Alligator mississippiensis: one gene and its partners. The protein of the gene in region 2 binds, or shares a complex with, the protein of the main gene of each other region. Links are inferred from orthologs where the notes say so. Each region holds a gene or a part of one and is shown on either strand. Other genes may lie near its edges.

Region 1 (7,236 bases), on a different chromosome or scaffold from region 2:
GAGGCAGAGAGAATATGAATAGATGCCAACAGCTGTGCCAGGACATAATGAGACACTTGATTGTTATAGTTGTATTACACTAGCATCCAGAAGGCCTAATTGAGATCAGGGCCCCATTGTGCTTGGCATCATCCCAACATATAGGGAGAATCTCTACCCTAAACGGCCTACAATTAACAGAAAAGATAGACAAAAAGTGGGAAAGCAAACAGCAACACAGAGAAGTGACTTCCCCAGTGTCGCACAGAGCAGGACAGCGACAAAGTGAGGACTAGGACACAGGTTCCTTGGATTTCCGTCCAGTACTTTATTTTCTAAACCAGGGGTGTCAAAAATACAGCCCATGGGGCAGATCCAGCCCACAGAGTCATATTGTCTGGGCCACAGGGCCCCTGGAAGGGCCAGAAATTGAGGGATGAGAGCAGGAGCGTGGCCCACCACCAGAATCTGAGATACAAGGCTCTTTTGGGGATGTGTGTCAGGAGCAGGGGGCAAAGGGGCAGGCAGATGAGGGAGTTGGCGGGTAATAGCTACATAAACCCCCAGGGATCCCTGATGTGCTCACCCCACCAGTACGTCTAGATCTAACCTGCAAGGAGCCCTGCATTTTGGATCCAGCCCAGGACAACTTTAACACTCCTTCTCTAAACCATGCTCAGAGCCAATCCAGCCTGAAGGAGCCTCCAAAAAATGCCAGCAGGTTGAAAACCACTGGTATGCCTGTTCACTTGGATTTCCTTTCATTTCTGTTCACTTAACTTTCCTTTCAATTTATAAGTACAAAATTACTATGAATCTGTTTGCTGTACATGCTGGACCATGTATGATGGGAAGATTACATCATAGTGCAAATCAAGATAGAATCATTTAGAGCAGTGATTCTCAGCCAGGGTGCCTTGAGATCCTTTCAAGGGGTGTTGCACGGGGTGCTGCACAATATTAGTACTGTTAGTTGTGCAAACATGATTCACAAGATAAATTCAGAGTTTTCAAATAGTGTTTTTTACCCACAGTGTTAACAACATCCCGACTTGCTGTGGTCTTTCTGAGTTCTTTGCAACAGAAGAATTGTTCTATTCTTTTTTTGTAGTCAAAAAGCAACGAAAACTAAGAGCTGGCATTTTTTCAAGGGGTACCTTCATTATATTGAGGGGTGCCTCAAATCTATCAAGCGGTGCTTTGACTCTTAAAATGTTGGGGACCACTGATTTAGAGCTTAATATTTCTAGGTCCCCATCCAAACTGGGGACTCTTTTATAACTCTCCTCCCCCTGCAATACATAATATTTATATACAGCCTATGTTTCTTCTATTGCTTCTTAAGCAACAGGTCATTCATCCTTTTCTATAGGAATTGACACAATATGTTAATGTTTACCAGATGAAGGGGAAACAGAAGAAACTGATATGAGCAAGGGCACTAGCTTACTCACATACGCTGTTAATTAGGACTCAGATAACAGGGTGGGGATTCATGTATTGCAACAGGACGGAACAGGGCTTCTCCTGCAGCATGCAGCAGTTTTCTTTGAAAGCTAGTACTTCTGGGCAGAAATTAAAAGCACAGGGCATTCTGTGGATTGCTTAAACTGTAAAATTGTACTTGTACACCACCATGAGGCTTGAGGCTAAACTATTTGTGCAAACAGAAGATCTTTCCAGTTACACACACAGCAAATAAGTTTGAGTGATTTTCGCATTGAAAACAGATGACAAGAGCTCAGAAGAAAAACATGCTGCGGTTCCGTCCCGAGCAATCTACATTTAATCATCAAAGGCTTTTAAATGACTGGAGCCACACAAATGCAATGTAACATATGTGAACTGGCACTTCTAGCCGCAAGTCAATGAATTTGAAGTGCTGAACACTAGCACGTTGTGGTGAAAGAGAAAGTAATCTCTGTGTAAATACAATTCAAAGACCAACTCAAGTGAAAAAAACCGTAAAAAAATTCTCATGCACAAAGGTGGTAGCCTATTCTGTGAAATGTGCACAGAATTTATTTTTGTATTTCTTTTAATACAAGATGTCACTATAGGGAGACCTGAACTTTTAAGTAACTGCAATTGTCCGGCACTAGATTTTTAGTATGGTCTTGTATGATCCCTTGTAACAACTAAAAAAATGAAATATAAACCAGAAAACAAAAGGTTTGCTAAATAAATATACTGTAACAATTAAGCACGTGGTAGTATCAATGATAAATAACAATGTCCTTACCTGGGTGTTTAGGTAGCCTGGAATAGTTTCCATACACCTGTACATAAAATATGACAGAATAAGACAATGTGAAGCAAAAGTTTTTAAGAATAAACAGGAAAAATCTCACTGTTACCCAAGTTCTGAATATTACCTGATATTTAGACTGAAATAAAATCTGCAGCAAATAATAACAGAGCAGAGACAACAAATTCTTCATGGTCCTTTTGCGTTTTCAAGTGCAATTGAGATCTAATTCCTGGGAGATTTCAATCATGAACACAAGTTCTCCTTTGCTACTTTTTTTTCTTTTAAAATCTGCATTTTCCACACAGGTTCAGAAACTCCATTCTTCCAGTGAGAAAGCAATATATTCTTCCAGAGCCTTCATGAATATTTGCTTGCTTTAAATGTGGATCACTTGAATTACCAAAAAACACATAACCATGACTGGAGCAAAATCATAAGATAAAAATAATAAGATCCAAAAATTGTGCAATTGCACAGAAAGAATGCAAGTAGTTCTGCTGTTATTTGTGCCAAAAGAAGAGATCTTATTTTACAATGTTTGCTGTCTGTGGTTTTCTTTTTCTTTTTTTTTTCTTTTATCCAATTATTTTTACTTTGTCAGAGATCTGAAGCCAGTTTTGGTTCTCATCATAAAAAAGTAGCCCCTTCTGCTCCACTGGACATCTGACTCTCACTGTGTCCTTAGGAATTGGATTGAACTGTGTTGCTAGCTCCTCGCTTGTCTGGCTCACGTTTGTACCTCCATCCCAGATCTTTTTGGGTGGAGAGTAAGTCTGAGTGATGTCATGCTTTCTTCTCAAACTTTGTCCCATTCTGGTACTCTATTTATATCGTGTTGCTGCTGTCTCTTTTCTGGGTCCTAACACCAGCCTGCTAGGAACAAGCGGAAACAAGTTAATGCGGTTCAGAAAGCAGATTAAAGAGACCACAATAAAAATTATTTATTGCAAGTTTGCACATTCAGAGAAGGAATGAAGCCAGTACAAATACTCGTATCTCCAATGCCTAAAAAAACATAAAATACATTTAAAGCAGAAGTTTTATGAAAGAATCAAGAGCCATTTATTAAAATAATACTTTGTATTTCTTCAGAGCTTTCTCTCCATACATCTTAAACCCTTTCGAAACATTAATTAAGCCTCATAACACTCTGGTGCAATAGAGGATATTTACTATGCCTATGCATAGAAGGGGAAACTGAGGCATCAATCATTTGGCTTGTTCAAGATCAAACAAAAAGCAATAGAAAAGCCACAAACAAAACTGGGATCTTCTAACCTCGAATCACAAATATTAGCCACTAGACCTTCAGCCTGTCTTACGTTTAGATAGAATAAATTAGACTGTACTGCTCGATTCTTGAGTAATCTTTTATCAGGGCCACTTTACAATTGTACCCTGAACTGTACTGCATTCATAGCAATTATTTATTTAATATAAAGATGATTAGAACTGAGATTATATATATAAAGATTAGAACTGAGCACCAATTTTCATTCACTCTTTTCTTTTCTTTTTAGATAAAAAAATACTTTTATTTCAGATTCATCGGGGGTTTTTTTTAATTTTTGTGATTTTGTTCAATTAAAAACCAAAAAAAAAAAATCCAAACTTTTTTTTCTGCCATCTTCCCCTCCCCCCCTTTCCTCCCTCAGCCTCAGAAACTCTCCCAAATAGTAAAGTACTTTAAACCAGAGGTAGCCACCCCGCAGCATAGGTGCCATACATGGCATGGGCAGTTTCTGTGTGTGTGGCAAGCAGCTGGCTGAGGAGGAGACGGGCTACACCCTGGCAGAGAGGGCAGGGAGCAGAAAACAGAGCAGGCAAGGGAAGGAAGTCAGTGGCACGCAGGGAGAGTTCAGGGCTAATTTGTGGCATGCCTATCAAAAAGGTTGCCCCCCACTGCTCTAAACCAGCTCTCAAATTGATATCTATTGATAGATTAAACAATGACAGGCCTTTGAGTGATGATGTTTCTAGGCATGTTACTGGCCCCCTATGCTTCACCACTTTTGTCCCTTGGATACTCGAGCTGTGCCTTCTCGGTCCAAGCCCCAGATAGTGCTAATATTTGATAACTTCCCTGACCCACACGCCCTCCAGAGCCCGATCTACGCCTGACTGGTGTGTGCCTTCACCCCTGCTCTTTTCTCTTCTAAGCCCTAGGCTAGAACTGGTCACAGTGAAATGTTTTTTGGGGGGGTTTTCCACATCAGAAAATACTGATTTAATAACAAACAGTGCATGGGAATATGTCAATTCTATTAAAACTTTCAATGGCCTCTAAGTTGACTGTCCAGCTACTTGGCTAGCCTGCCTTGCTTTCTCCTAACCCAACCACTAACCTCCCAAAGTAGACCTGAGCATGTAAACTTGCAACCTGCTGTGGGTCTCAGGTTTTCTAGGACTTCAGCGAGCACATTTCATTAAAAACACTTGCTGAAGCATCGTATTCGTGTTTCTAAAATTAAATATCATTTAACTTCAGTCCCTTGGGGGAAAAAATGGGTGTCTGGCTCTTCATCTCAAGTGTTGAGGGAAAACATTCTGGGAACCTGATGTTTTTCACAAAATTAATTCCCTAGCCAGCTCTTCCATAGACATAGGCTTGCTTTCTCCTCTTCTGATTTTTGCCGTACTCTTTCCAGACCTGTTTCTCATCCATTACAATTGGCCTCTATGCCTAGGAGGAAAATGAAGAACTTTGTGTATGCCCCAGATCTCCCGTGCCATTGAATGATCAGTATTGCCATGGGTAGAAACAATAGCTTCAGCTAAAAATAATGAGTAAAGCTAAATTGTCAAAAGAGGAAGAAAGGAATTTGAAATATTTGCCAAGTGGGGCCTGTTAAAGGAAAGTAGATGCTTGTAAAAAAAAAATGGTAGAATCCAAGCACCATGTTCACTGCCAGGAATTTTTGTGGAAACAGCAAATTATAAGCAGATATTGAAGATTATTTGCAGAAAGTAAGTTTTGAACTTATTCATGTGATACTTCAGGAAACCTGATTTGAAGTGTTTACTAATCCAACCAGAGAACAGAAGCAATGCCAGGTTCCCTGTGTCCAATCTAAGCTAACCAATCCCACCTGAATTGCAAAAGGCAGTTAATCAGAATGAACAACCTACAGACAAAGCACAATTCACAGAAAATACTTGGATAGTGATTTTGAGCAACAGCTAGATTTTTAAACAGTTTGTGGAAATTATTTTAGTAGAAAAGGCAAAATTAATTGAATTGGTTATTCACTCTGTTAGGTTAATTGAGAATAATGCATGAAATTCACCTAGTGGTGGAAGTCCAGGCGTACTTTCTAACTCCTCTTTGTGAGAAAGAAGGTGGTCGAAGCAGCACACCCATTAGCCAATGTATGCCATACTGACTCTGATCATTTCAAGCCCACAGTACAGCTCCTTCATAATCCTCCTTGCCTACTACTCTTATCAAGTAGCAGTATCTGCCCCTGCCACTAGGCACCTTGGTTCAGATCCAGAGGCCGTCCACTGCTCTTCCCTGTATTCCTCTTGCTTACTAGTATATTCAGAGTGGGCTAATTTCAATTCCCCATGCAGAGCATAAAGTCTGATTACTCCGACTATATCAGAGATCAGAGAGTTTTACCCTGTGCTGCAAAATTTTACTTGCCCTGGATAGAGACTTTTTTTAAATGTTCAAGCAAAAGATCGCTCTTTTTTCATTACAATCAGTTCTCCTGACATAAAGCTGCTGAGTAGATTTTGTGCCTGAGCTAGAGCATTGAGCCAGAATATTGGCTTTTTAAAATCACTTTCTTAAATGAAAAAGGATTTGAAAATGCAAAAACAGTGAGTTCTGTGTCCTCCCTGTATGGTGTTTCATTAATCTGTGCATGCACCTGTACATATAGTCCAGTGAACTACTTGCCAAATGGGCTGAGGGCTTATATCCAGAGTGGGTCCCTTTAGTGGCAGCCTCCACTGGAAAGTATACCTATCAAGTGGCTTTCTAATATTTGAATGGAGTCCCTGTGGTCTAGCAAAACGATTTCTGAGCAAATCATGGATTCTATTAACTGCTTAGTTACAGCTGAAACCAAAGGAAAAGGGCTTAGAAAATAGTATCACCACCACAGCCAGCAACTTGTAGCTTTTTAATGTAATATCTTCTGACTTTTCCTAGAAGCTTAGAAGTAACACGGAGTGTTTTAATTTCAGTTATGCAACAGAACAGAAAACAAACACGTGGGGCAAATGCAGCTTTCATTTGTACAACTCTCAGTCCAAAGTAATTTTTTTTAGATCACTGGAAATACTGGGGATTTACACTGGTGTAACTAGATTAAATTGACTCCTATACAGTCAGTACAAGACTCGCACATCGTTTAAGGCCTTCACGATGCACAGCATTTTCTCTAGTAAAACTATTTGGTTAGGAGCAAGATTTTTCCTTGGTACAACCCCAAAAGTGCATGAAGCTTTACTGACACAAAATATATTGGCACAGCTTATTTTTCTTCTCATATAGAAATATAGAACACCTTTATACCTATAGCTAAGGGGTCTACTTAAATCACAGAGAAACTAAACAATTTTTTCAAATTCTGCGGATATTCCCTGGATGTTCTCCAGCACCCCTGCCCCTCGGCACTGGTTGGCAGAGAGGCCTTGGCAGCTGCCACCTTGTCTGCTGCTCTTCATGCTGCTCTGCCAGCCAGCGCCGTCTCCCCTGCCCTGGGCAGGCTGTGAGGCTGCGCTGCAACAGCAGCAAGGACTGCTGGCCCCCACTGGGGAGCCAACATTTTATTTTTATTAAGTTTTTTTTTTAAGTTGATTTCACGGACAATGCTGGCTTTCAGTTTCCACAAAATCCGTAGAATCGTGAATTGAATATGCCCTGGCCTATGACTGGGTCCACTCACTGACAGCAGCATGCCACCTTCTTGATATCAGTAGGATATTTTGCTGTGGTCACTTCCAAAAGGAAAGCTAAAGCCTTTGTGAATGAATTATTCTTGCCCCGGTAGGCA
Region 2 (7,570 bases):
ACCTATAACACAAAGCACCTACCCACTAGAATCAAACTACTGAACCACAGTTCACATCTACCACTGAAAGCTTCACCAGAAAAAGATACCTGCTTGCATGAAAATGAATGCACTCGCATGAAATTGAAACAGGAAGTATATGCAGGGAATGACTACAAGACTGCACAAATGGGAATAGAAAAGAATGGTTTTAAGACCTGGTAAACTAAAGAAAACTGTCTCAGAGGAAAAAAAAAACCCAATTAGTATGCATTCCTCCTTTTCTCTTCTGCAAAATGACAAAAGTATTTTTATAAGTTTCAGTGAACCAGCAGCAAAGAATGAGATCACATTTCTAGTTAATACACTAGAAAGAGCCATCTAGAATCAAATCACAGGTCTGCTACAGAAAACTCATTAAAATGGGCATACAACCTGTCTGCACCTCAGTGCCCTTGCTGGTAAAACAGAAATAATATTTCCTTTATGGGTGAGCTAATTTTGATTTACTCTTCTTGTTAACAGCATTAAAATGAAAACTTACGTCAGGCTGCAATTCCACGAGCTAAAAACGTTAAGATATGTCTAAGTGTCCTCAGAAAGAGACAGAGTCTATTTCACTGGAAAATGAAACACTGTTTTACAATCTTGAACAACAATACTGAGAAAACTGTCTTACCAGCTGGAATTCTCTGCGTCTGTCATAGGCGTTCTGGATACCACTGTCTGCCCACAGTGCTCGTATTGCTGGAAGGTACTGTAAAAAAACCCGAGTCTCCACCATCCCTTGTGCCACCATGGCTGACCGAGTATCAAAAGCCATCATCATATCCCCATTACTCTGGTTGGCAGGAACTCCCCAGGGAATGTGAAGTTTCTCTCTGGCATCTACCAGGACTCTCACACCTTTAATAAAAAGGAAGAGCCATAATTAGTGTTCTCCCAAATCTGCCATGTCTACTTATCACACTAGACCTTAGACAGACTTAAACACACATGTACTTTTGACTTATTGTGTAGTCCCAGTAAAGCTAATGGGACTACTTGCACAACAGGAAGTTAGCATATATGATGCCTTCACAGAGCTGAAATTCTAGCTTTAGAGCTCCGTTTCAAGGTAACATGGAAATTACAGTTATTTGTAGTGAGAAAATTAGTTATATACTTCTGAGATTGTTAATGCCAGTTTCTGGAAAAACATCTAGTTTGTGACAAGGGCAAGAAAAGAAGAAAAATAATGTCCTCATCGAGAATTAAAACAGTGGTTTTGTGAAGTGCACTTCACAAGCGTTATCCGTTTACCTTTAACGATGTATACTGAAGTTAGTAAACGAAACTCATCTACAGAATAAACAATCGATACTAGCAAATAGTCTATGCTTTTGTTTGAACTCAAGAACGAGTTTATGGCAGTTTAGTTCACCTAGCAAGAATACAAGATTTCAAGCATATAAATTAACTATGCTAAGCACTATTTAGGAATCCAGTGAACTGTTTACCACCTTACTTAAAGGCATTTCCTTCTCTTCACCCATTGTAATAAACTTGGTAGTTTTGCCAAAAGACAACGGCAATGTTCGTTTTCAGAAACAAAGGTAAACTGTATCGCATACAACTCATAAGGTGTTAAATGCTTTCTAAAAGGTACCTCAATTTGCCGAAATCCACACAACAGTTACTTGTGGAAAGAGTTCTGCTACAAGCACAGAACTTCCTAAGTCTTTCCTCCAAATACCAAGAAAAAAGCAACACCTCTTTAACGCTCAACCTTGGGCTTTAAGAGAAAATCTGTGCTTTTTTTCCCCCCCTGTACCTGTACTGCCTACCTGAGAACGGTGAGCTAATACTACCATTACAGTCTCTTAAAGCCCAAATAGGGGGAGGAAAACCAGCATGAAGAATCAAGGCCGGGGCTAGGTATATGGGAACAAAGTCTCTTCATCAAAGAAGCGTTCAACACACATGGCTACACCCTACACGGCTGCAACCTGCACCCCTAACACACGTGCTACTTTCGGTATCAAAGAGCGTACGACGCACTTTGGTTTTCGGAAACCGGTCGTCAGCCCTGGGGTAAAACTTTTCTGCCTGTCAAATGGCAAGGCAAAATTTGATGGTGATGTCTAAATATCTCATCGTTTCATTAACTACCTCATAGCCGAACTCTTCCCGGCCGCCTCCCCCACAGAGAGGCGGGCAGACAGCCCTAACCCTCCTCGGGAGGCAGCCCACATGAGCGCTCCCAAGGGCCATTTAGGAGTGATTTAGGAGCCCGAGTCCCACTCCCACTCCTCCGTGACTCGACCCCAGCGAGATGTCCCCCCCCACAGGGCACTGCTGGATGGATGGATGGATGGATGGATGGACGGACACCGCCCATCTCAGGTGCCTCGGGGATTTCCAAATCAGCAATTGACGGCCGGCCACGAGGGTGTGGGGCCGAGCAGGAGGCAGGCAGGAAGACCCTCCCGCACCTCCACAACGAAGGCTACGCACACCTTACTCGAGGAGGCGCGGGTGTAAGGCAGGAGTGCACACCCCTGCCCTGGTTGCTCAGGGAGGCGTGCGGGGAGGGCGTACGTCTACACGGACGCACACACGCACGCCTGCCTTACACCCTCACCTCCCAGATTCAGGTAAAAAGGGGCACGCGTGTACATATACGTGTGGGGCTCCCCACACGCCTCCTGCTGTATAGGTACAGGCTCTGAGAGGGGCTATGGTAGGTGTGCGTGTGCAAATACACACACACGCGCGCGCGGGGTGGAGGGGGGGGGGCCGGTCCGCACCTTTGATGACGTTGCTGTAGATGGTGGCGCGGAACTCCTCGCGGGCGGCGCGGTCCCAGTCCTGCCCGTGGATGATGCGCATCTGCTTGAGGAAGGTGGATTTGCCGCTCTCGCCGGCGCCCAGCAGCAGGATCTTGACGAGACGCTTCACGTACGTCTTCTCCTTGCTGAGGCACTTGTCGATCTCCTTGGACTTGCGCTGCTGCTCGGCCTCGCCGCTGCTCAGCAGGCAGCCGGGGAAGCAGCCCGACAGCGCGGAGCGCGTCGGCAGGAAGTCCGCCATCTTGGCCAGCACTGCCAGCGAGGGAGGGAGCGGCCGCCGCCGCCCGCCACCTGCGCATGCGCCGCGCGACCGGCTGGACCACGTGACCGCGCCGCCCCCGCGTCACGTGAGCCGCGCCAGCACCTGACCGCCCTCCCTGCCGCGCCCCGGCACCCGTCACGTGACAGCATCCTGGCTCCTTCCGCACCACGTGACGCCGCGCGGGGCAAACGGGCGCCGCATCGTTAGGGAAAGGCGGCTCTTTACCGCATTGCTCCGAGTAGCCGCACCCTAGTGCCATGTACCGTAGTACCACGCGCTCCAAAGCGCAGTGCTCTTGCTGCAGACAGGATCCCTTCTTAAGTGGATCTCGTAATAATAAATATTAAATTTATTAATATAAATAGATTATATATTTATATATATCATATTATATAAATATATTTGTATAATATAAATATATATTATATATTTATATATCATATTATATAAATATATTTGTATAATATAAATATAGATTATATATTTATATATTATATTATATAAATATATTTGTATAATATAAATATATGTTTATATAAATGTATTAATATAAATAAAGTAATATTAAATAATATTGTATATTAATATAAAAAGTATACATATTATATATTTAAATATGTTATATCTTTATATAAATATATTAATATAAATATAAATATTATATAAATATAATGGTCTAGATAAAAGTGATTGCTCAGTTCTAGAGTTGGGCATCCTTTTTTGGCCCCATCCCCCCCATGGGTCCTCGGCGGATCTTTGATCAAACCTGGAAAACATTGTTCTGTGTAACGTGCGCCCCTGCAAAACGTGTCCTGGCTTTCGCGGCAGCCCGTGCAAAACAAATGGCGCTCCGAGCATCTGGACCAAGGCTGGGGTCGACCGTCGGCACTTCCCGATGGCTGAAATAAAAACCGTGCTTCCACCCGGATGACCCAGGTCTCACCCCCTGCACGCCTACAGTGAGCAATATCAAATAAATCACTTATTGGCATCTTTTTGCAGCAGATACAATCCTTTCAACCATCCAATATTACATTTTTTTCATATTTAAGACCTGGCAGCGCTGGTCCTACCCTGGCACCGCGACGTCCCACTGCAAGCAGGAGGGATGAGGTGTTTACACAGGGCTGGGGATTGAACCCAGGTCCATCCAGCCCGTGGGGAGAAAGTGCTGCAAAGCAGCAGGGTCCAGATGGGTGAAAGCCGCGACTGGGGTAAATGAGGTTCTTTGGGTGAATTTGATATCTTTTATTAGACCAACTTTAATACCAGATTTACCCCAAGAACCTTGCCTGTCTATGTGCTGTGACCACCATGGCTGCAACCGATACCCCAGCGGGGGTAAAGCACAGTCTGCAGCCCCCTGCTCCAGCCCTCCCAGGTGCCCATCAGCTGTGGATGGGGGAAGGGGGTGAAGGAGCCATTGCTGCAAGGTGCCAGAGGTTTCTGCAAGGCTGGCGGTGCTGCCGGGGCTGCAAACCAGGCGCATTGGGTCCCATGAGGGACGGCACAGCAGCAGCACGTCGGTGAAAGCAAACCTCTTCCTGCCCAGTTCCTCGGCCGCAGCTTGAAGGAGGTGGATTTGCAAATGCACTGGACCCCGCGTGGTCTTGTTGCCGTCCTAGCTCCAGGAGGCTTTCTGGAGAACCGCGCCGGCCTAGCTAGGACTGCACTGGAGATCTGGCTGGCAAAACACGCTGCCCCTTCATCCCAGCTGGGAGAAATGCTCTAAAAATGGCCTGAGCTTAGTGCAAAATTAGTTTCCGCATGTGTGTCTATGTGTAATACTGGGAGTACTAGACTTACAATGGGATACATGGGAAAACTATATTGTGAGGACAAAGCTATTAGAGGTTTTCTTACAAGGAAACAAAAATTGAACTTCCCCATCAGCTTCTTTGCGTGTCCAAGCACAATAGGAAAAAAACAACAGTCAAGTTGTAGCAGAAGAAAAGCCCTGACATGCCTCTAGCCTTCTCTTCCCTAAGAAGAGCAGCAAGCGCTTCCAGGATTTGTTGGGATGAACGCAGCCAGGCTATAGAATTGCCTTGTGCTCAGGTCTCCAGGCACTGGGATGGTTAAACAGAGGTGGGGAGAGGAGGTAATGGGCACTGACCTCCAGGATTTCACTACTAGCTCACAGTACAGAACCACACTTCGCTGAAGACTGAAAGCTTAGACCCATGCAAGGTTGAAATTGCACGTTTGACTGGAAACAGCTCTAATCCCGGTTATTCTTACTCATCATCTGCCTATCACCATGGAAATTTAGGCTAATTGCAGCCAGATCTTGAGATGATATAAGTGGCTACAACTCCATTTCCGTTTGTGCAGGTATTCAGATTTGCTCTAGTTGAAGATCTGGCCTATAAGTGTAGAGACCAAAAAAACTGTCTCCTTTTTTGTATTATTCCACTGATGGCTCAAAAGAGATGGGTTGCGTTGGTCAAGCACATACAGAAAAGCCGTATTTCGCATGCTTGCACACAGGCATGTGCATTCACGCACATACACAATCTCAGTCAATCGGGTATTATCAGTGATATTCCTTAAACACCAACCCACATCAAACACTCATGACTCTTAAAAACAAGCAGACAAGGTTCTTTGGGTGAATCTGATCTCTTTTATTAGACCAACTTAAATAGTTGGAAAAACATTTTTAGCAAGCACGTACTTGGGTCACATGACTCAAAAACATGCAGCGAATACTCATACGCACTTCACATCATTCAAACCTGGCACTGTTTAAGCCATCCTACAGAAAATCTGTGTATACATATGCACACACATGTATGTACACACACCCACTGATTATATCAAATGTTCCCTTTCTCTTCCCCCAAACCCTAACTTTGGCACCCAGTACTTTCCTCTTTGCATACTTTTTTTTTTGCCTTCTGATCTCTTGATAGTATCATAGAGTTTTAAAAAGCTGAAGAAGAAAAATGGCTGTGGAAAACATGACACTGGCTTAGTGTTGGGAAACTCTGCTTTAATGAATGGAAAAACTCTTCCCCTGAAGTCAATAATAAAAAGTAACCAAGTTTCTATCCTAGCATGGTGAGCGTGCTCTCTCCCACAAGGCTCTGTGACAGTCAGCGTGTTAGATTTATTTTAGATGGTGCTTATAAAATCATCTATCGGTAGACAGCAGTACCCACCTTTATAAAATCCCTATAATCACCTGCTAGCCTGTGTGCAGCAATGGGGGGTCAGAAGCTCTTGAGTTCTGGTCCAAGACCTGGCACTGACTTCCTTTTCTGGCTGGACACAGCTCAGAGCATGATTTTAATTACTGTCAAGGTGTTTCCAACTCCCAGGGGTTTCATGTGGAGTTGTGGATGCTCAGTGACTCTGAGCCTTTGCCCTTTCTCTTTGGCTCTTTCTCCATCTGTACATCTCAGCACTCTGCCAAAGCGAGGACATGTTCCTGCCCCAGTTTACTGACAGGAGCAGCAAGCAACACGCAAGTCAAGGCTAAAACTGCTCTGAATTTTGGCTTCCTCCATTGCATGAGTGCGTACCCTGAGCCTGCTGGTAAGAAAGTGCTGCAGAGACGAGGAAGGGGCAGACCCAGGTGAAGAAAATCCTTGTGACCCCAGCAGAAGAAGGTAACTAAGCTCCCAGCCAGAGAAGGGGGCTGCACCACCCACCATGCCACATACCGACATGCGCTTGGGACCATTTAAAACCAGGATGGCTGAGCCAGAGTTCCCCATTGCAGGAGGCATAACTGTGCTCCCGTGATGCCTCCCGGCCATGTAACACAGCAGCATCCTCCCGCTCCCATCACCAGAGCCAGCTGCTCTCTGCAGACAAGGATGGATTCAGGGGAGAAACAGAAATAGCTATTTTATTATAACACAGGCTGTTCAACCCCACGCCCGGTTCAGTCAGGCAGGAGCACCCTGGCAGCCGGCGCTCTTGCCCAACGGGATCTTGGTTTTGCTGTCTGCGCACTTTTCCCTGCTTCGCAGTTTCATTGTTTGCCTTCCTCTTTGCCCTTTGTCCCCTCCTGCTCCTATCCTGCCCTGCTTTTCTCCTACAGCTCATCCTGCCGCCCATGCACCTTTCCTCTCTGCCAGGCCTGGGACTGCTTCCCCTGCCCACACTCCACTTTTGGGGGTCTTTTCTCCCCAACTGTCACTCCTCCCAGCAGCTCTAACCATCACTCTCCCGCTGTCCTTGCTCCTTCCCCACTCCTAACTGCTGTCGCACCCATTGCATCCTGCCACTCCGCTCCCCAGCCAGCTGTCACTGCCGCTCCATCTACACAGCCTCTGACCCAGTTGTCACTCCTGTCGGTCCACATTCCCAGCCCATGGCCGCCCCCCATCCCAACTCTCATCCTTGCTCCTATTTGGGAAACCCTCCCAAGCCTTGTCTCTCTCGCACGGCCGTCCTCCACCTGCCTCTGAGCTGAGGCTCAGGGGAGGAAATGGAAAAGAGAAGAGAGGTGGGTGGAAAGGCAGGCTCAGTAAGGAAAGCAAGAGAG
Region 3 (7,172 bases), on a different chromosome or scaffold from region 2:
CAAACCGGACTCCCTGAGCGGCAGGTGACAAACCGGGACCCCAGCAGCACTCGCCGGGAGCCCTGACTCCTGCGATCTCCTTCCCGCTTGGACTCTGGGGTGACCTTTGCCCTTTCCCTCGGGGGCAGGCGTGTGCCCCGCGCGTGTGCCCCATGCCCCTCAGGGCTTGTGCAAGGAGGAGGGGGCTGCCAGGCTGCCTGGACTCCGCCAGCCTAGCGCCCTTTGGCCCCGGGGCACAAAGGTCTCTGGACCCCAACCTGCCTCTGCCCCAGGGGCACCCCTGACTTGACCAGCCCCCCCAGGAGCCTGTGACCATGCCCCATACCCTGGACCAGGGTGGTCAGCGGGTCCTGCCTCCCCCCAGCACCAAAAGCTGTGGCCAGGGTGGCGCCACGACAGGATGAGCCACGTGCCGCACCCATGGCGGGGGGGACACGCAGCCCCCAGCCCCGGCTGGTGTCACAGCGGCCTGGCACAGCACCCACTGCCTGCGGTGCTGGCAGCACACCCCTGGCACCCACAGCACGAGTCTGAGACTGGGGGGGGTCACAGCTGCTTTATTCATGGTGGGGTGTTGGGGTTCTCCAGCTTTGTTCCCTGCACCTGGCAGCCCCCCCACATACCCACGGGCACAACAGGGCACTGGCCACCCCCTGCCCCTGCACTGGAGCAGCTGGATCACGGGAGGGCAGAGAGCTGGGCCCCCCCTCACTGAACCCAGGTGTCTGGGCACACACACACTACCCAGCATCTAGGATACACTCCCAGAGCACACCTCAGAGACATGCACATGTGCACACACACACTACCACGTACACACACAACACTGTACTGCGTGCACACGTTCCCACACACACGCTCACAGACACTTGCACAGCTCACTTACATGCACGCCCCCTGGGTCCATCCGCCTGCCCCCCCCTGCCGCCCCCATCATCCCACAGAACCAGGCACCCTCGCCCAGCCCCACCTCGTCTGCATCCCATTCACACCTCAGGGGTGGGGGGCACCAGGATGTGCAGCTGGAGCTCCAGGTCATCGCCTGGCGTGGGGGCTGGCACGGGGGCGCCGGCCTTCTTGCCCGCTGGCGGCGTGTCCAGCGTGAGCCAGGCACCAGCCAGGCCGCGGCGGAGGCTGGCCAGGGCCTGGGCCATGTCATGCCGTGCGCCCTCGTGGGCCAGGCAGTAGAGCACGGGGTCGGCCAGGCAGTTGAGGCTGGTGACAGCCAGGGCGCCGTGGTAGGCGGCGAAGACGCGCTCCTCGAAGCCGCAGTCGCAGGGCCGGCCCAGGGACATGGCGCTGCGGCCCAGCAGCGCGGCGTGGTAGGGTGCGAAGCAGACCAGCGCGATGAGCACCAGGCTGCGCGCCAGGCGCCGGATCTTGGCCTTCTCCTGCTGCTCCGTGGCCACGTTGGCGCCCACAGCCCGCAGGATGCCGCGGTAGCACAGCAGCATCACGGCCCAGGGCACCAGGAAGCCCAGCACGGACCGGTACAGGTTGAGCCAGGCCAGCCAGGCCTCCATGGGGTAGCTCTCGAAGCAGAAGGTGCGGTTGCGGCGGTCGCGGAAGAGCTCGTCGTGGAAGAGCGGCGCCGAGTTGGCGCCCAGCTCCAGGGCCCAGACGCCGGCACTGACGGCCACGGCTGTGCGCACGCGGCGCAGGCGGGCAAAGCGCAGTGGGTGAGCCACGGCCACGTAGCGGTCCAGCGAGACGCAGCACAGGAAGGCCACGCTCACGTAGATGTTGGTGTAGAAGACGAAGCCGAAGAGCTTGCAGGCGCCGGGGCCGTGGCTCCAGTCGTCGTGGTGCAGGAAGTAGTCGGCCCAGGGCGGCAGCGCAGCCGCGTACAGCAGGTCAGCCACCGACAGGTTCAGCAGGTAGACGCCCAGCTCGTTGCCCTGCCGCACCTGGCGGCAGGCGGCCCACAGCGCCGCGCCGTTGGCCGGCAGCCCCAGCACCAGCACCGCGATGTACAGCGCCGGCGGGAAGAGCTGGTCCAGCTGCGAGCCCACGTCGCAGCGCGGCTCGCTGCGGTTGCACATCCTGGCGGGCGGGGTTGGGGGTCACAGCGTGGGCTGGGGGGCGGCCATGGGGCACGGGGTCCTGGGGGACACGGGAAGGGGGTCAGGAGGGTATGGAGTGGGTGAGCACACCCTGCTATGCCAGGCTGGATGTAGCCCAGCCGGGGCCTCCTTGCCACACGCAGCTGCTGTGCTCGCACACACCGATCCCACCATGCGGCTCACACCAGCACACGGACCCCGGGTGGCGCTGAGCCGCCATGCACATGTGGGCCGTGTTAACACGTGTGCTCACACATGGAGCCGGGGTGGCGGGGTGCCTCCAGCTCAGACCCCTGCGTCCACATACCCACAACGACACGCAAATGCTCACGCCTGCCCCAACAGCTGCCCATGCCCCTCAGCCCTGTGGAGCCCCCCCAGCACACGCACACACACGCACATGCGTGCTCCCGCCTTGCCCCTCCATGCGCCCCACATCCGGACATGCCTTGGGCACACGTGTGCACTCCCTTCCCCGCCTCACATGTGTGTTCCTGGAGCCTGTCTCCGCCACGCACTTCCACGCCTGCCCTGAGGACTCCCAGCTGCCCCCCACCCCCCCTCCCCCCGCTGGTGCCCCTCACTCCCAACCTGCAGCCCCCCAGGGCCCCCGCTGTAGGGGGTAAATGCCTTGCCTGAAGAGGCCCCCCTAACAGTGGGGGCAGAACCCACGCAACCGGGTGCCATCCCTGCTCTCCAGGCAATGGGGGCTTGGGGGGGAGTGGGGCCCAGTGGTGAGGGTGGGGGGCGTGGTACCAACACGACCTGGGTGCTCTAGAGGCTCGCTCCAGGAGGGGAAGGAGTCTCGTGGGGTACAACTGGGGGGGTGGGGGGGGCAGGTCTGGGATCCCAGATGCCTAGGCTCTCACTTGGGGAGGGGGGGGGCAGGAGGAGGCTGAAGGCTGGGGGGGCGGGGCAGGCTGGGGCAAGCAGGAACCCAGGCGGGCGGTTGCCATAACGACATGGGGGAGGCAGAGGTGACCTTTGCAGGCCCCAATCCCTGGGCACCCCCTGCCAGGCGCCAAAGGACACGAGCCAAGCACACGGCTCACATGTGCACACCAGGCTCACATGCGTGTGCACACAGGGTGGGGGGAGAGTGGCATTTGGAGCTTCCGGCCCATGGAAAATTCCATGCTGGGGGGGACGTGGAGGCCCCCGGGGTGGGAGGGGACCCAGGTGTCTCGGGAGGCTGAGCCGGCCGTGAGGACGGGGTCACCCCAGGACCTGGGGTCAGGCCTGGCCTGGAACCCAGGCGTCCGGGGTCCCTGAGCCTGCCTTCCCGGAGCTGAGGACAACCCGGGGGCCTGGGCACCCGGCCCCCCACCCTGCTCTCGCCTCCAGGCTCCAGCCAGGGGGGGTCCTGGGAGGGGAGTGGGGCCCAGAGGTGAGAACGGGGTGGGTGGGGGCCCCAGGACACCACTCCACGAGGGGCAGGTTTGGGGGGGGCAGGGAGCCCAGACACCTGGGTTCTCCCCAAAGCTGGGAGGGGCGTGAGGCCTAGCGGCCAGAGCCGGATGTCCTGTGCTGGACACGCCAGGCCGGCTCGGAAGGGACGTGACTTCACGGCGGTTCTGAGACGGCGCAGGAACGAGGACCCTGGCGTGCGTCCGTCCGGGCTGCTCCAGACATTCATCGCCCCGGGCCGGAGCCAGGGAGGAACCCAGGCGTCCGGGTGGGGGCTCCCACCCGCTCTGGAGCCAGGACGGGATGGGGGTTACTCCCGGGGGTCCCAGTGCCTGCCCAGCCCCTGCCCCCTACGGGTGGGGCTGGACCCATGGACACACCCATGGGGAAGGGGGTGATGGCCGCCCCCAGCAGAGGGGACCTGGGCATCCGGCTCCAGCCACGTGGTCAACCAAGGAGTCCCCAGAGCTGGGGGAGGACCCAGGGGTCTGGGCTGCAGCAGCGGGTGGGGGGCAGAGAACCAAGCATGGTTGTGCCCGGCCCTGGAGCCTGGCTGGTGCCCCTCACTCCTCACCCGCAGCCCCCCCCCAGCCAGGGGGGCAGAGCAGGTGGTAGATGAGTCCCAGCCACCCCCCCACCCGCCCCCTCCTTCGCAGCTCCCCCTTCCGTCCATCCGGCGGGATCCAGCTGCAATGAGATTAGCCCAGGCTGGTGCCGCTGCCCACCTGCTGCCAGGGCAGACGGAGCCGAGACACTGCTCACCCCCCCACCCCCTTCCCCCGCATCAGGGCCCCTCACTCCCGACCTGCCACCTCTGTACACCCCCAGCCCTGCTGGTGCCCCCCACTCCTGACCCACAGCCCCTGCCCCCCAGCCTGACCAGTGCCCCTCACTCCCAACCCACAGCCCCTGCCCCTCCAGCCCTGCTGGTGCCCACTCCTGACCCACAGCCCCTGCGCCCCCCCCGGCCTGCCCGTGCCCCTCACTCCTGACCCCGCCTTCCCCCAGCCCCACCAGTGCCCCTCACTCCTGACCCACAGCCCCCGTCCCCCCCCCCCAAGTGCCCCTCACTCCCGACCCGGATCCCCTGCCCACCCGTGCCCCTCACCCCCAACCCGCACTCCTGCCCCCCACAGCCCTACTGGTTCCCCTCACTCCTGACCCGCAGCCCCCTGCCCCCCAGTGCGGCCGCTGCCCCCCACTCCCGACCTGCAGCTCCTGCCCCGCTCCGGGCGCGCTGGGATGCGTCTGGCCCGGCGCAGGTAATAACCACGTCTGGGCTCGTCTGGGGGCTCTGGCTCGGGTCGGGCGTGCGGGGAGGGGCCGAGGCAGGGATGGAGCCCAGCAGCCCCCGCACCTTCAGGGGCTCCAGCCCGGGGGGGGGGGGGCTCCCGCACCCCCACTACCCGGGTCCTGTCTCCCCCCAGGTGCTGCCCCTGGGCTGGGCGATGCCAGGTGGCTGGCAGGGGTGGGAACCTGTGAGAGGGGCTGCGACCTTTCTGCCCCCCCAGCCCTGCCGGTGCCCCTCACTCCCCACCCACAGCCCCCCAGATCGGGGGTTCTCCAGCCTCGCCCCCCCATTTGCCCCGGGGAAGTTATACCCCGCCTCACTCCCGCCCCAGCCCCCCCGGTAATTGCCCCCCAGCCTGGGGCTGGGCGGGCTCAGTGGGTCCCCGGCAGCGCCCCCCCCCCAGGGGACATGGGTCGGCGCGGGAAGGGTTAACCGGGGGGGTGTTAACCCCTGCGGCGCCGGCCCCGCACGCGACTCCCCAGAGTTAACCCTCTCCTTGCTGGAGGGCCCGGACCCCTACCCCCCTCCACTCAGCCTGGCCCCGCCCCACAGGGAAAGGGGCGTGGCTATGCAAAAGAGCTTAAACGGGACGTGCTTGTGGCCGCGGGAACTGGCATCCCCCCAGCCTGGCGAGGGGGAGACCCCCAGGCACCCTCCCCCGTTGCTGGCGCGGCGCGGCGCTGTGCTGCGGGGGCTGTGCCCTGAGGACGTCCCCGGCCCGGCTCCCGGGTTAGGCCCCCGCCGGCCTGGCCCAGCAGCTGCGGTGCTCGGCGCTGCACTGGGCAGCGCTGCCGCTCCGGGATTGGACGCCGCCGGCTCCGCCCCCTGCCCCGCCAGCCAATCCCAGCCGGGGCGCCAGGCGGCTCCGCCAATCCCCTGCCCCAGGGCTGCGGCCACGACCGAGGTCCGGCGTGGGGCTCCGGCCGGGGCCGGGGCGGCCCGGACTCCTCAACTGCCTCCTGGTCCCGTGGGGGTTAATGGTCCCCGGGGGGCACGCGCTGCGCGGCTGTGGTGTGACACCCCTGTCGTCCTCCCCCCGCTCCCCGGGGGATCCAGCCCCCCGCCCGGACACACACGCACAGGCCTCGGCTCTCACGCACGTGCTTTATTGGGTGGGGAGGGACCCCGCACCCTCTTTGGAAAGGCAGGGCCCGCATCCCGCCGCACAGCCCCCCCCCAGTGCAAATACAATCAGCTGGAGCCAGCAACCCCCCAGGGGACTGGGATCAAGGGGACCCCCCCAGCTCCACCCCTGGGGACACCCCAGGCAAGGGGGGCAGCAGGATTGCACCCCCGTGCCTCAGTTTCCCCCCCATTCCCCATTACTTGCAAAAAGCAAGGGAAGCACGCCCACCCCGGCTGCGGGGTGGGCGGGGGGCCCTGCCTGGGGTCGTCTCCCCCCCCCACAAAGTGCTGCAGCCCCCCCCGCACCCCTGTGCAACCTCAAGCGCATTGAATACAGCTGTACTAGCCCCGCGGTGCAGGGCCGCGCGGGCCCCCCCGCCTAGACGAGGCGCCACTGCAGGACGCTGGTGTCGGAGCCGCCGGCCGAGAGCAGCCCCCGGTCCCCGGGCAGGAAGGCAACGTTGGTGACGTGGCTGCTGTGCCCCTCCGCCGCGTGGCTCGAGGCCTGCGGGGACACGAGGGTCACGGGGGTCTGGGGGGTCAGCGCGGGGCGGGGGAGTGGGGGGGAGGAGTGCTCTGCGGGGGGTGCGCAAAGGGACAGGGGCGGTGGGCGGAGCGCCCCGGCACAGGGGCGGGGCTCACGCGGGGCTGGCAGCAGGGGGCGGGGCGAGGGGCGGGGCTGGCAGCAGGGGGCGGGGCTCACCCGGGGCTGGCAGCAGGGATAGCGGAAGAGGCGCACGGTGCCGAAGTCGTCGGCCGAGGCGAGCAGGGCGCCGTCCCGGGAGCGGCTCACGGCGTTGATGTCGGTGCCGTCCGCGCCCTCGGGCCAGATCCCTGCGGGCAGGGGGTCAGAGCGGGCCGGCCCCGCCCCCGCCCCCGCCCCCGGCCCGGCCCAGGCCCCGCCCCCTTACCGAGCACGCCGAAGCCCAGCACGCAGGTGACCGTGGCCCAGTCCCGGTTCCGCACCGCGTCGGCACTCGTGATCTGGCGGCAGGTCGCGGGGTCCCCTGCGGGGAGGGGGGCGGGGTTCAGAGCGGGCCCGGGGGTCCACCCCCCATCCCCCCGCGCCCGGCACTCACAGTACAGGATCTCGTAGTCGCCCGAGTTGGTGACGAAGCAGCCGCCGTCGGTCGCCCAGTCCAGGTGCGTGATGAAGCTGGAGTGGCCCTGGGGGGGGCAGCGGGTGAGGGGAGCATGTCCTGGCCCCGCCCCCGCGGGAAGGGGTCCCAGAGCCCCCCCGGAGCCACCTACCGAGCACCTGCCCACGCGGCTGTAGCGGCGCCCGC

What was found.
Region 1: the proteins of GNA13 (region 2) and ADGRD1 are in contact, whole or in part, in a cryo-EM structure (PDB 9V0U), measured with the Homo sapiens proteins. The link is inferred for Alligator mississippiensis from reciprocal best matches to the Homo sapiens genes GNA13 and ADGRD1. Residues at the interface, in NP_006563.2 of Homo sapiens: Val49, Val216, Phe218, Phe359, Val362, Lys363, Asp364, Ile366, Leu367, His368, Asn370, Leu371, Gln373, Leu374, Met375; in NP_942122.2 of Homo sapiens: Asn599, Arg601, Leu657, Met660, Val661, Ile662, Val664, Phe665, Ser667, Val737, Ile738, Ile741, Ala761, Val764, Asn810.
Region 3: the proteins of GNA13 (region 2) and GPR4 are in contact, whole or in part, in a cryo-EM structure (PDB 9JHP), measured with the Homo sapiens proteins. The link is inferred for Alligator mississippiensis from reciprocal best matches to the Homo sapiens genes GNA13 and GPR4. Residues at the interface, in NP_006563.2 of Homo sapiens: Arg47, Pro341, Tyr343, Phe359, Lys363, Asp364, Ile366, Leu367, His368, Asn370, Leu371, Lys372, Gln373, Leu374, Met375, Leu376, Gln377; in NP_005273.1 of Homo sapiens: Gln45, Asn50, Arg115, Ala118, Val119, Ala120, Pro122, Leu123, Ala126, Ile204, Val208, Ser211, Val212, Ser213, Thr214, Glu218, Lys221, Ile222, Leu225, Asn290, Glu291, Gly292, Ala293.

The regions. Positions count from the first base shown.
Region 1 is NC_081833.1:9,606,085-9,613,320, reverse strand, and holds the start of ADGRD1 (adhesion G-protein coupled receptor D1), read right to left. Parts: upstream 3,030-7,236; 5' UTR 2,421-3,029; coding exon 2,355-2,420; intron 2,259-2,354; coding exon 2,222-2,258; intron 1-2,221. UniProt on the Homo sapiens protein: Adhesion G-protein coupled receptor (aGPCR) for androgen hormone 5alpha-dihydrotestosterone (5alpha-DHT), also named 17beta-hydroxy-5alpha-androstan-3-one, the most potent hormone among androgens. Also activated by methenolone drug.
Region 2 is NC_081831.1:4,634,310-4,641,879, forward strand, and holds the start of GNA13 (guanine nucleotide-binding protein subunit alpha-13), read right to left. Parts: upstream 3,082-7,570; 5' UTR 3,052-3,081; coding exon 2,769-3,051; intron 886-2,768; coding exon 659-885; intron 1-658. UniProt on the Homo sapiens protein: Guanine nucleotide-binding proteins (G proteins) are involved as modulators or transducers in various transmembrane signaling systems.
Region 3 is NC_081838.1:377,153-384,324, forward strand, and holds GPR4 (G-protein coupled receptor 4), read right to left. Parts: upstream 2,870-7,172; 5' UTR 2,043-2,869; coding exon 987-2,042; 3' UTR 543-986; downstream 1-542. Other genes in the region: EML2 (echinoderm microtubule-associated protein-like 2), read right to left, coding at 6,266-6,391, 6,590-6,720, 6,798-6,893, 6,966-7,053, 7,138-7,172. UniProt on the Homo sapiens protein: Proton-sensing G-protein coupled receptor activated by extracellular pH, which is required to monitor pH changes and generate adaptive reactions. Activated by an optimal pH of 6.8-7.2.